Linked DNA regions of Drosophila melanogaster. The protein of the gene in region 1 interacts with the protein of each later gene in a pairwise test. Each region holds a gene or a part of one and is shown in the gene's direction. Other genes may lie near its edges.

Region 1 (4,955 bases):
GGGATTCGAATTCGAATCCATCGCAAATCCATTAGTGTGTGTGTGTGTTCCGAATTGGCCAAGATTGCGGACCCAGAGGATATCAGTGAAAATCCGCTCGCTGTAAGTGCGCAGGATTTGTAGGCACGTAGATTTCGCTAACCGTTTTGGCTTTCGTTTGGCACTGCACCTGCTTTTTGCCCAGTTAGAGTTCCGCTTTTTCGTTTGCCCCTCGACCTTGGGCACTTTTCACGCTTCGTTTGGCCGCCAGTCGTGTGTTTGTCTATCGATGATATCACGGCTGGGTCATTAAGACCCGGTTAAGTGCGACATTTCTGTTTGCCTTCCGCCGATAACTAACTTAAGTTGCTAAACGCCGTTCCCAGAGTCATTAACACCCCGTTAAAGTCCAGGGCAAATCACGGGATCCGCCACTGGGCTCCCAGCAAAGTTTCATAATATTTATCTGGCACGATCATAACATGCATACGCGATGTACTACAAACATCTATATTATATCTGTACATATATGGTTTAAAAATAAACATTGTAAATATTTACATTGGAAATCTATAAAGAGCAACTCGCCGATTTCTCACCATAATTCTCTTGCTAGCCGTTCACACGGTTTTGGCCAAAGGCTTATTACCCCGTTTTCCTTTTTCCATTTTCCTTTAGAGAAATAGTAATAAATGCTTTCAATAAATAAATAACTCATAACATATCTGTGTCTGGCTGCCGCTTTCATGTTTATGAGCTGATAATGAGCTCGTAAACAGTCCAATTCCGGTTGTCTCTGCTTAGAAGCCATCCGAACTGAAGCGATCTTGATGGAAACGGCGATCCCTGGATGCTCTTGTTCCCTGTCATCGGGGGGTAAAGTCATCCACTGATAATGCCAATGATCGATAAGGAGTTCAGTAACAGCTTCGAAACAGTTGTGCAATTTTTAAATACACATAAAAAACCAAATGAAACGTGAGGCTACAGTAAAACTTCTCTAAAAGCAACTATATCTCCTTAAAATTAAACATATTTCAATATATAGAGACGATGTATCTTTAAAATTTAGCTTGCACTGTGAGTGAACTTTAGGATTAACGAATGTTTGAGCAGCTGTGCTCAGCAATTCAATTCAATTCGAGTGTTATTTTAACCTTTAAGCTTCAGCTTTTTTTGACCCCACACGGCGTATGAGCAATGTGTCACTTTTGGACAGCTCACCTGAACAATCTGAGCGATCCGCGACAGCTGCCTAATTAAAATTATCGAAGATTCCGCAGCTTCGTCGCCGTCTGCCAGCGCTTTTTGAGTGCAGCCAACGGGGCGGATTGTCGATCGGTAAAAATAGCTCATACGCAATGTGGGCACACGAACGCACTGGCACTTCTTTCTTGTCATCTCATGTGCAGCCGGGTTGAATGACTCGCGACTAAATATAACACTTGCCGTTTGCCCCGGTTTATGTAATAGCCATTCAAGTGTTGATCTAAGCCAATGCAGGCGACATCGGAATTGGATGTTTTTGAGATCGCTTCGCCCTGCTCATTAGGCGCATTGATAAACAGATAAACAGATATGGGGAAACGTGTTTGGTCAAGTGTTTTTTTTTTTCTATTCATACGCTTCTGATGGCACAGTTCTTTCTGTAGAAAAACGCATACACTCATTGAAAAATCGCCGCGCCAGAAGATCTACATTTTATGCCGGCTGTAGCCGTCCGTTGACAAAGAGCGAACGAGCATCGAAATCGATGAAAATAAATCAAAAAAAAAAAAAAAAAGAAAAAAACGCAGATGAACAAATGGCAATCCCAGAACGAGGCGAGATTTCAAAATTTTTGGTTCAAAAAAAAAAAAATAAAACTGGCAAGAGCGGGAATACCGCTCTCAACTTTTCTCTCGCCAACTTGTTTTTGGCTTTCGCTTTTTTTTGGCAGCATTTTGATCGTTGGAGCGCCGTAGAATACTCAATATTGTTTGGGATTCCGTGGCGAGACGATCGTTGAAAAAGTCGCGCGCGCTGCTAAAATAAATTCAAGCGCTATATTATTAGGCAAACAAAAAGGAACACACATCATTATAATCCCCTTAAAAGTTAAGATATAAATACGCAGGCGACGAGGGGAAATACGAAATACAAAGTAAACACATTTTATTGCTGGATAATTTTACTGTGCCCAGTGACAAGAGTGCTAACACATTTAATACACATTCAAGTGCTGGCAAATAGAGCCGAAACTGGGCCAAAGTTGATTTGAAACCAAATATTACTCATACGCCACCGGCACCGCATTCATTCCCCCACCTAAGCTATCACTTCTTGAATGAGCCCAATGAGCGGACTGCGCCAACAGCTAAAGGTGAGTACTATGCTTATTTTCTTATCGATAGGATAACCCGATCTTCATGAGCCCTAATTCCCAGATGATCTTGAGTCTTTAGCCCAAAACCTGCTTGCATTTGCATAAATATTTACCTAATCGCTTTTCAATGGTGGCAACAAATTTCATTCTCCGTCTGGCAGACACTAAAGCTGCCTTCGTTGTATACACAATTTGTTTTTATTTCGTTTATGATGAGCAAATATTAAATCCCTCTCTCGCCTACCGGCTATAAATAATTTTAATAACAATATTGGTACTACATTCGCCTGTCAGGGTCGCCAAGGTACATTTAAATTGGCAGATCGTATTTGTTAGTTGTCAAATATTTAGATTAACCCATTACGCAGAGCGCGAATAAATATTGCAACAGGTTTATTGTCTGCTAGCAATTAATGTTAAACAAAATGATATACGAAGTACGACACTTAATTGCTTAAGAGCTATATGGTAGCGGGTTTCTTGGAAACCTTTTATTTTAAGATGGAAAAAATGCATACTTATAATATTATTTTGAATTGTCGAATATTAAATTTCTGTATGCTGGCCAAAGTGTTTCTCGGAAAGTATATTTCCAATAGGAGCTCAACAAACTTGCCCAAATCGAGTGGAACCGTCGGCTATATTTTATTCAGATCTGAACAGACGATAATTAATTTGAAAGCGTATGTGCGCGACTCACATAAAGTTGCTCCACAAGAGTGCATTCATTTTTTCCTAAGTCATAAAATGCGTCGCTGTCGCAGCCCATAACTTTGTAGCCAAAACACATCATTAAAAAGTACAGACGAGCGTCCATAAAAGGCATATAGGTATATGAGTATAGATATAGATGTATATATCTGGAAAATCGACTTTTGCGGAGGGGCATCATAATGGTTTCTTAATGTGCCCGTTCTGGATTTTTGGCGTACAAAATGCGCTTCAGTGCTTTTGAAGGCATTAAAAACGTGATTGTTTATAGACGTATGTGTATCTACTTGGCCAATATAAACACTAGCGATTATTAACTTTTTTCCTACCTTTCATACTTGTATATTTTAATATGATGTGAGCCCACTATGCTCGCTTTTGTTTGAGGTCCAACGTTTGATACTTGTTTATTCGAATTCACTAATTGACGACACAAAGTTTATTTCATATATCGTAGATTTATACAAACAAGCCGCAAATTTATGATGTTGGCACAGCTTTGTGGAGCATAACAAATTTTCGGAAATTCCTGAACAAGTGTCAACGAAAAATGCCATTAAACGAGCTTTATAACGCCGATTCTGCGCAAATTTATTAATTTGTTTACATTGTATGGTTCTTGGCACGTGAGCAATGCCACCTCTGCATTTATTATCTCGCTTTAAGCCCATAAAGCAGCAGTTGGCTAAGGTAACTAACCTCGGACAAGGTTTTACATGGTTGCCATGTGGGCCATGTGAACATCATCCACACTAAACTTATGAACTTTATGTAGGATTACAAACAGAAATAAAAGCCTATTCCGTAGGAAAACAATGCGTGATTCATGCAACCTTTAGATTGTCTAAATTAACTAACCAAATGTTTATATTCAACACCAATTAATATATATTAGGTCATGCTTTAATTGAAGTGTAATCAACTTCTCCCATCTGCACACAATTTAAATGAATTTGAAATCAGCATTGTTTGTGAAAATGGAAATACTGGAATATTCGGATATATTTGCGTAAACACTTTCACCGCATTTGCTGGTTCATTTTTGCAATTAATCAAAAATAGTTGAAATGCTTGCCATTCAGTACGTAATTTAGAAATAAATTGGGAAATAAATAAATGGTAGGCACGAACACTCTGGCCAGCCCCCTGCCAAGATTCCTCAGATTTGGTCTAAATGGAGGGGTTGATGCTATCGAATTGGTCTTAAAGAGCCCACTAAATGCATATGCACTTCTTTTTCGCTAACTTGAGATGCTCGGAATTCCTCGAGTGAAAATAGATTGAAAAACAACAAGTGCAAGTGGGTGCTAAAATAAACCAAGAACAACGTAATAAACAAGAATGTCAAAAATAAAAAAACCTTTGGCTAAATGTAAAAATATCCATTTAGCCCATCCGCAAATACCTTTTTGATTTTCCCCGCAGCTGAAGAGTATGCTACACTTTCGTTTACACTTCTGCTAATATTTTCCCTTAGCTCATTGACTTTTACTTAGTATACTCAATGTTTTATTTGCTTTATGTTTTGTTTTACAGATGCTGGGTACAGCATTGCTGGGCAAACGGGCCACCAAGGTAAACACGAAATTATTTCGGATCGATCGGTTTATTTTGACTGGTCGGTATTTATTTGATTTTCACTTTCGTTTCGTTTTTTTTTTTTGCTTTTTCATTTCACAGTCTGTCAAAAAGAAACCATTTACGGAGGTGGAAATCAAAGGTAAGTAACCAAATCAAACCACAAATCAACAGACAAATTGTTTATTTACAAACAAGACGAACAGTGACCTCTGTTCTTCTGCGAAAAACTCAACAAAATATGGGTTAATATACGTGGCTATCTAGTATTTGATTATTCATAATTACAGCCAATTTGTGTGCTAAGATAAGCAGCTAGCTC
Region 2 (4,892 bases), on another chromosome or scaffold:
TTACTCTCTTTCCGCTCACTCCCGCTGAGAGCGTAAGAAATCTAAAAATATAATTTGATTGCTTGTGTGAGTAAAAACAAGAGACGAGAACGCGTATAAGTGTGCGTGTTGTGCTAGAAGACGATTTTCGGGCCGAAATCAATTCTGATCGAAGAAACGAATTTACATGGTACATATTAGGGTAGTTTTTGCCAATTTCCTAGCAATATGATAAAATAAAAAAATTTTTAAAAATTCGCGCCCTGACTATTATAATTTTAAAGCTTTTTAAATTTGTTTGTTAAAATCGCCGCTCGAATTAGCTACCGTTTACACATTTATATTTATGTTTAATTCTAATTTGTCTCTCATCTGACAATTTTTTAAAAGAGAAATTATTTTTTTAAAACACTTTTAATGTTAATGTTACATCATATTAAGTCAAATGATTTAATAAATATACTAAATAATTAAATATGATAACTGTTTATTGCAAAAGTAATATCAAAGTAATATACTAGAATAATTCTAATGCTTTGTTCATATCTTGAGGCACGAAGTGCGGACACAAGCACTCAACAATCATTGCCTTATTAATTTTTCACACGCCGCAAGATGAATACTCTAATGACAAATATTCTTATATAAAGTCATTTTTGAAATTTATTTTTGTGATAATATGTACATAGATTTGGCTATTTCTGATATATTTTCAAATAATAATAACGTTAAGGCAATGCAAAACAAGAATTTTTCGCATGGTGCCAATTGATCAAAAATAATATAGATTTAAAGTCTAAAAACTTCTGAGGTGAAGGGCATATTTTGTCAAATTTACAATGCATGAGCATACGTGTGCACACATACAGATGTCTCCTACCACTTTGTGCGTTGAAAAGAGCTGTTCGCTGTAGCGCTCTTCGCTCTCTCGCTCTCAAACAAAAATTCGAGAGAGCCTGGAGCCACCTCTAGAGCCACGGCCAAAAAATCGTGTGCCAAAAAATCGTATGGCGTTACGCATCTTGTTATTCTAGGGTCTTTGGGCAAACCAATGTATGGCCGTTACGCATCTTGTTATTCTAGTGTCTTTGGTAATACCGTATTCCTTTCAAAAGATATACATCAATGCTTATCTTCTGTCTTGTGAACATATATGATTTGAGTTCATATAAGATTAACGAAAATTTCGAAATTAAGATAACTATTGCTGTATCATCAGTGGGGTGTTTAAATGTAGTAAATATCGAGAATTTTAAAAGATACAATTTCAAAAATGACAAATGTGTTAATTCTAAATAATTGTATATACCATAAAAACAAAAAATAAAAATTTGCTGTTGAAGATTTTTAATTGTAATAATAATCTTGTGCATTAGACATTTGCAAAGAATAATACAAAAAATACACGAATGCATTGTTTTTCCACTTATCAATTAATAATAATAAATAAGTGTATTCATGTGAATTAATTTCATTTCTTGTGTTAGCATCAGATTTTCATTTCTTCGTGCACTCTCTCCTAGCTTTCTTTTTAACCGTGACATATCGGGATCTGCCAAGAAAACTATTTGATGACAGGATCTAGAGGAAGTAAACAATTCGATGCACTTGTCAAGGTAGAATAAGGATGGCTGTATTCAGAACTCTTGTCAGTTATTATCCCCCTAAGTTCCGATTTTGGGAATTCCTAATGAGTAGCACAACAAAATTGGCTGCACTCAGCCACAATTATATTTTGGTAAATGTTTCAAAGTACTCCGTATTATAACTCGTACCTATGTATATGCATACATATACTAGTATTTTCAATGACATGCGCACAGAGTCGAGCTTTTCATGCAAACGAGCTCTTATAAAAAAATGTATTCGACGTGTTTTCATTGGCATAAGTAGCTCGATATTAACTTAAACGACATATTGTTTTAGGAATAAAGTAGTTTTAAAGTAAAATACAGTTTTTGCCGTTATTTAAATTCAAAGGAAAGACTCAAATTTGTAATAACAACACGCAATCTAATAAGACAGTGTAAAAACATAGAGTACTGTAACAATTATACTGAATGTTGGATTAGTTTGGTTTGCTTATTTCTTAATTGGGATCTCCGGCACCTGCAACCTTTATGACAGCGAACTAAACAAATAATAATGTTTTGGACCAAGTTTTATGAGATTTACATAAGTCAAACATAAAACAATGTGTACTCCTTTAAAAAGAAAGCCATTAAATAACAATATTATATGCTCTACATCTTAAAGTGCGACATAGTTTATACTGTGGTGGTACTGTGGTATAAAAAATAAACAAATAAAAATAAGTTGGGTGTTGTTATTATATATTATTATACACCTTAGTTACAGAAAGTTACGTTCTTATCTGCATGAAATAAATATGTATGCCCGAAGATATTATATCTTACATAATCGATTTCTTTGTTATTTACTTGAATTAAGATTCGAATTGTCGTAAAAAAATTACACATACTTCTCACTATTACAGACATGGCAAGCATAGTACTTATAGCTTGCTTGGCTATATTGGGATTAATTATTACAATCGCTCTTTTTCTGGCTGGAGGATACTTGTGGTGGAGGCATAAAAGATCACAGTTACAGTTTATTGAACCAAATGAAGATGAGGAATCTAGTAGTTATAGTCTTCGGTAAGTATTTGCATTTCCTGTTTAGTATATGACTTTATATATTTCATGGGGACAGACATTCGACTCTTAACAAGCGATAGAGGATCTATTTATGTCTATGACTGTATATTATCAACGATTTTGAGTATGCAGTATTTCTAAATTGTCCTATTCATTTGACTTTTTTATAAATACGTTAGTTGAGTACCCTCGGAATATTTAGAATATTTATATATCATGCTCTGCAATATATAATAATATATAATTATAATTTAGCTACAAAAAACCAACATTTTTGAGTTGTATGCAGTTTAATGAAACATCATAATTTATAGCTTATTATCGGATGATTGATTGGCAAATACAAAATTTTAACGTTAAAATATTTTATTCTTCTGTAACGGGAACCAATCGATATAAATTGCTAATTATGCCCGTTACTTGTAGATTAAAAGGGTATAGTAGATTCGATGAAAAGTAAGTAACAGGTAGAAGGAAGCGTTTCCGACCATATAAAGTATATATATTCCGTCTGTCCGATCTCGATCCCAGGAACTATAAAAGCTGGAATGTTGAGATTATGCATGCAGTTTCCAGAGACAAATGTTGCCAAGCCCACACTACCGCCCGTCGTATTTTCATACGTTTATTAGTTTTGTAAATTTCTATTAAATTGCCAACTTCATGCTACGCCCACTCTAAAGCCCACAACCATCCCAAAACTGCCACGCCGACACTTTTAAAAAATGTATTAATGAATTTTCATATTTTTGCTAGTCTCGTAAATTTTTATTCACATTTTGAAAAATGTTTTAATTTTGTGGCGTGGCGACATCAGGAAACAATATTGAGCTGTGCCTATGTCTCTGGAATTTACATGCTTAGTCTCAACTGTCTATCTTTTTTAGTTTCTAAGGTGGTGGGTGTTATTTTATTTTTTCTTTTCATTCCAGTTTTTATCGGTACGCCAAAAAGAATGTCGAGAAGATGTTGAAATAAGACTTTGCGAGAGTTGTATGCAGTTAGCTTGAAAGTAGTGTACATACGGACGAGCGAGCAGATGGACGGACGTAAAGGGTTAGTTCGTCTCGGCTAGTGATCCTGATCAAAAATCGCTCAAAAATCACAACCAATCGAAACGCAAGCTATCGTAATTTTTGTCACACAAGTTGAGAGAATGTGCAAAAGGGAATAGTACATACATATACACAAAAAAAGAAAACGATTGATTCTTTGGTAGTCCGTAACAAGTGATAATCAAATACCAAAGACACTAGAATAACAAGATGCGTAACGGCCATACATTGGTTTGGCACTATGCAGCCACTTTTTTGGTGACTGCCAAAATTACTCTCTTTCCGCTCACTCCCGCTGAGAGCGTAAGAAATCTAAAAATATAATTTGCTTGCTTGTGTGAGTAAAAACAAGAGACGAGAACTCGTATAAGTGTGCGTGTTGTGCTAGAAGACGATTTTCGGGCCGAAATCAATTCTGATCGAAGAAACGAATTTACATGGTACATATTAGGGTAGTTTTTGCCAATTTCCTAGCAATATGATAAAAAAAAAATTTTTTTTTAAATTCGCGCCCTGACTATTATAATTTTAAAGCTCTTTAAATATGTTTGTTAAAATCGCCGCTCGAATTAGCTACCGTTTACACATTTATATTTATGTTTAATTCTAATTTGTCTCTCATCTGACAATTTTTTAAAAGCGAAATATTTTTTTAAAACACTTTTAATGTTAATGTTACATCATATTAAGTCAAATGATTTAATAAATATACTAAATAATTAAATATGATAACTGTTTATTGCAAAAGTAATATCAAAGACACTAGAATAATTCTAATGCTTTGTTAATATCTTGAGGCACGAAGTGCGGACACAAGCCCTCAACAATCATTGGCTTATTAATTTTTCACACGCCGCAAGATGAATACTCTAATGAAAAATATTCTTATATAAAGTCATTTTTGAAATTTATTTTTGTGATAATATGTACATAGATTTGGCTATTTCTAATCTATTTTCAAATAATAATAACGTTAAGGCAATGCAAAACAAGAATTTTTCGCATGGTGCCAATTGATCAAAAATAATATAGATTTAACGTCTAAGAACTTCTGAGGTGAAGGGCATATTTTGTCAAATTTACAATGCATGAGCATACGTGTGCACACATACATTTGTCTGCTATCACTTTGTGCGTTGAAAAGAGCTGTTCGCTGTAGCGCTCTTCGCTCTCTCGCTCTCAAACAAAAATTCGAGAG

Evidence for each region. The genes of interacting proteins can lie anywhere in the genome.
Region 2: the proteins of Eip63F-1 (region 1) and Syt7 interact in a two-hybrid assay, tested with the Drosophila melanogaster proteins (one large-scale study listed by BioGRID).

The regions. Positions count from the first base shown.
Region 1 is NT_037436.4:3,930,633-3,935,587, reverse strand, and holds the start of Eip63F-1 (Ecdysone-induced protein 63F 1), read left to right. Parts: upstream 1-1,950; 5' UTR 1,951-2,305; coding exon 2,306-2,341; intron 2,342-4,591; coding exon 4,592-4,630; intron 4,631-4,735; coding exon 4,736-4,775; intron 4,776-4,955.
Region 2 is NC_004353.4:302,763-307,654, reverse strand, and holds the start of Syt7 (synaptotagmin 7), read left to right. Parts: upstream 1-1,836; 5' UTR 1,837-1,959; exon of another isoform or gene 1,960-2,294; intron 2,295-2,476; 5' UTR 2,477-2,478; coding exon 2,479-2,639; intron 2,640-4,892.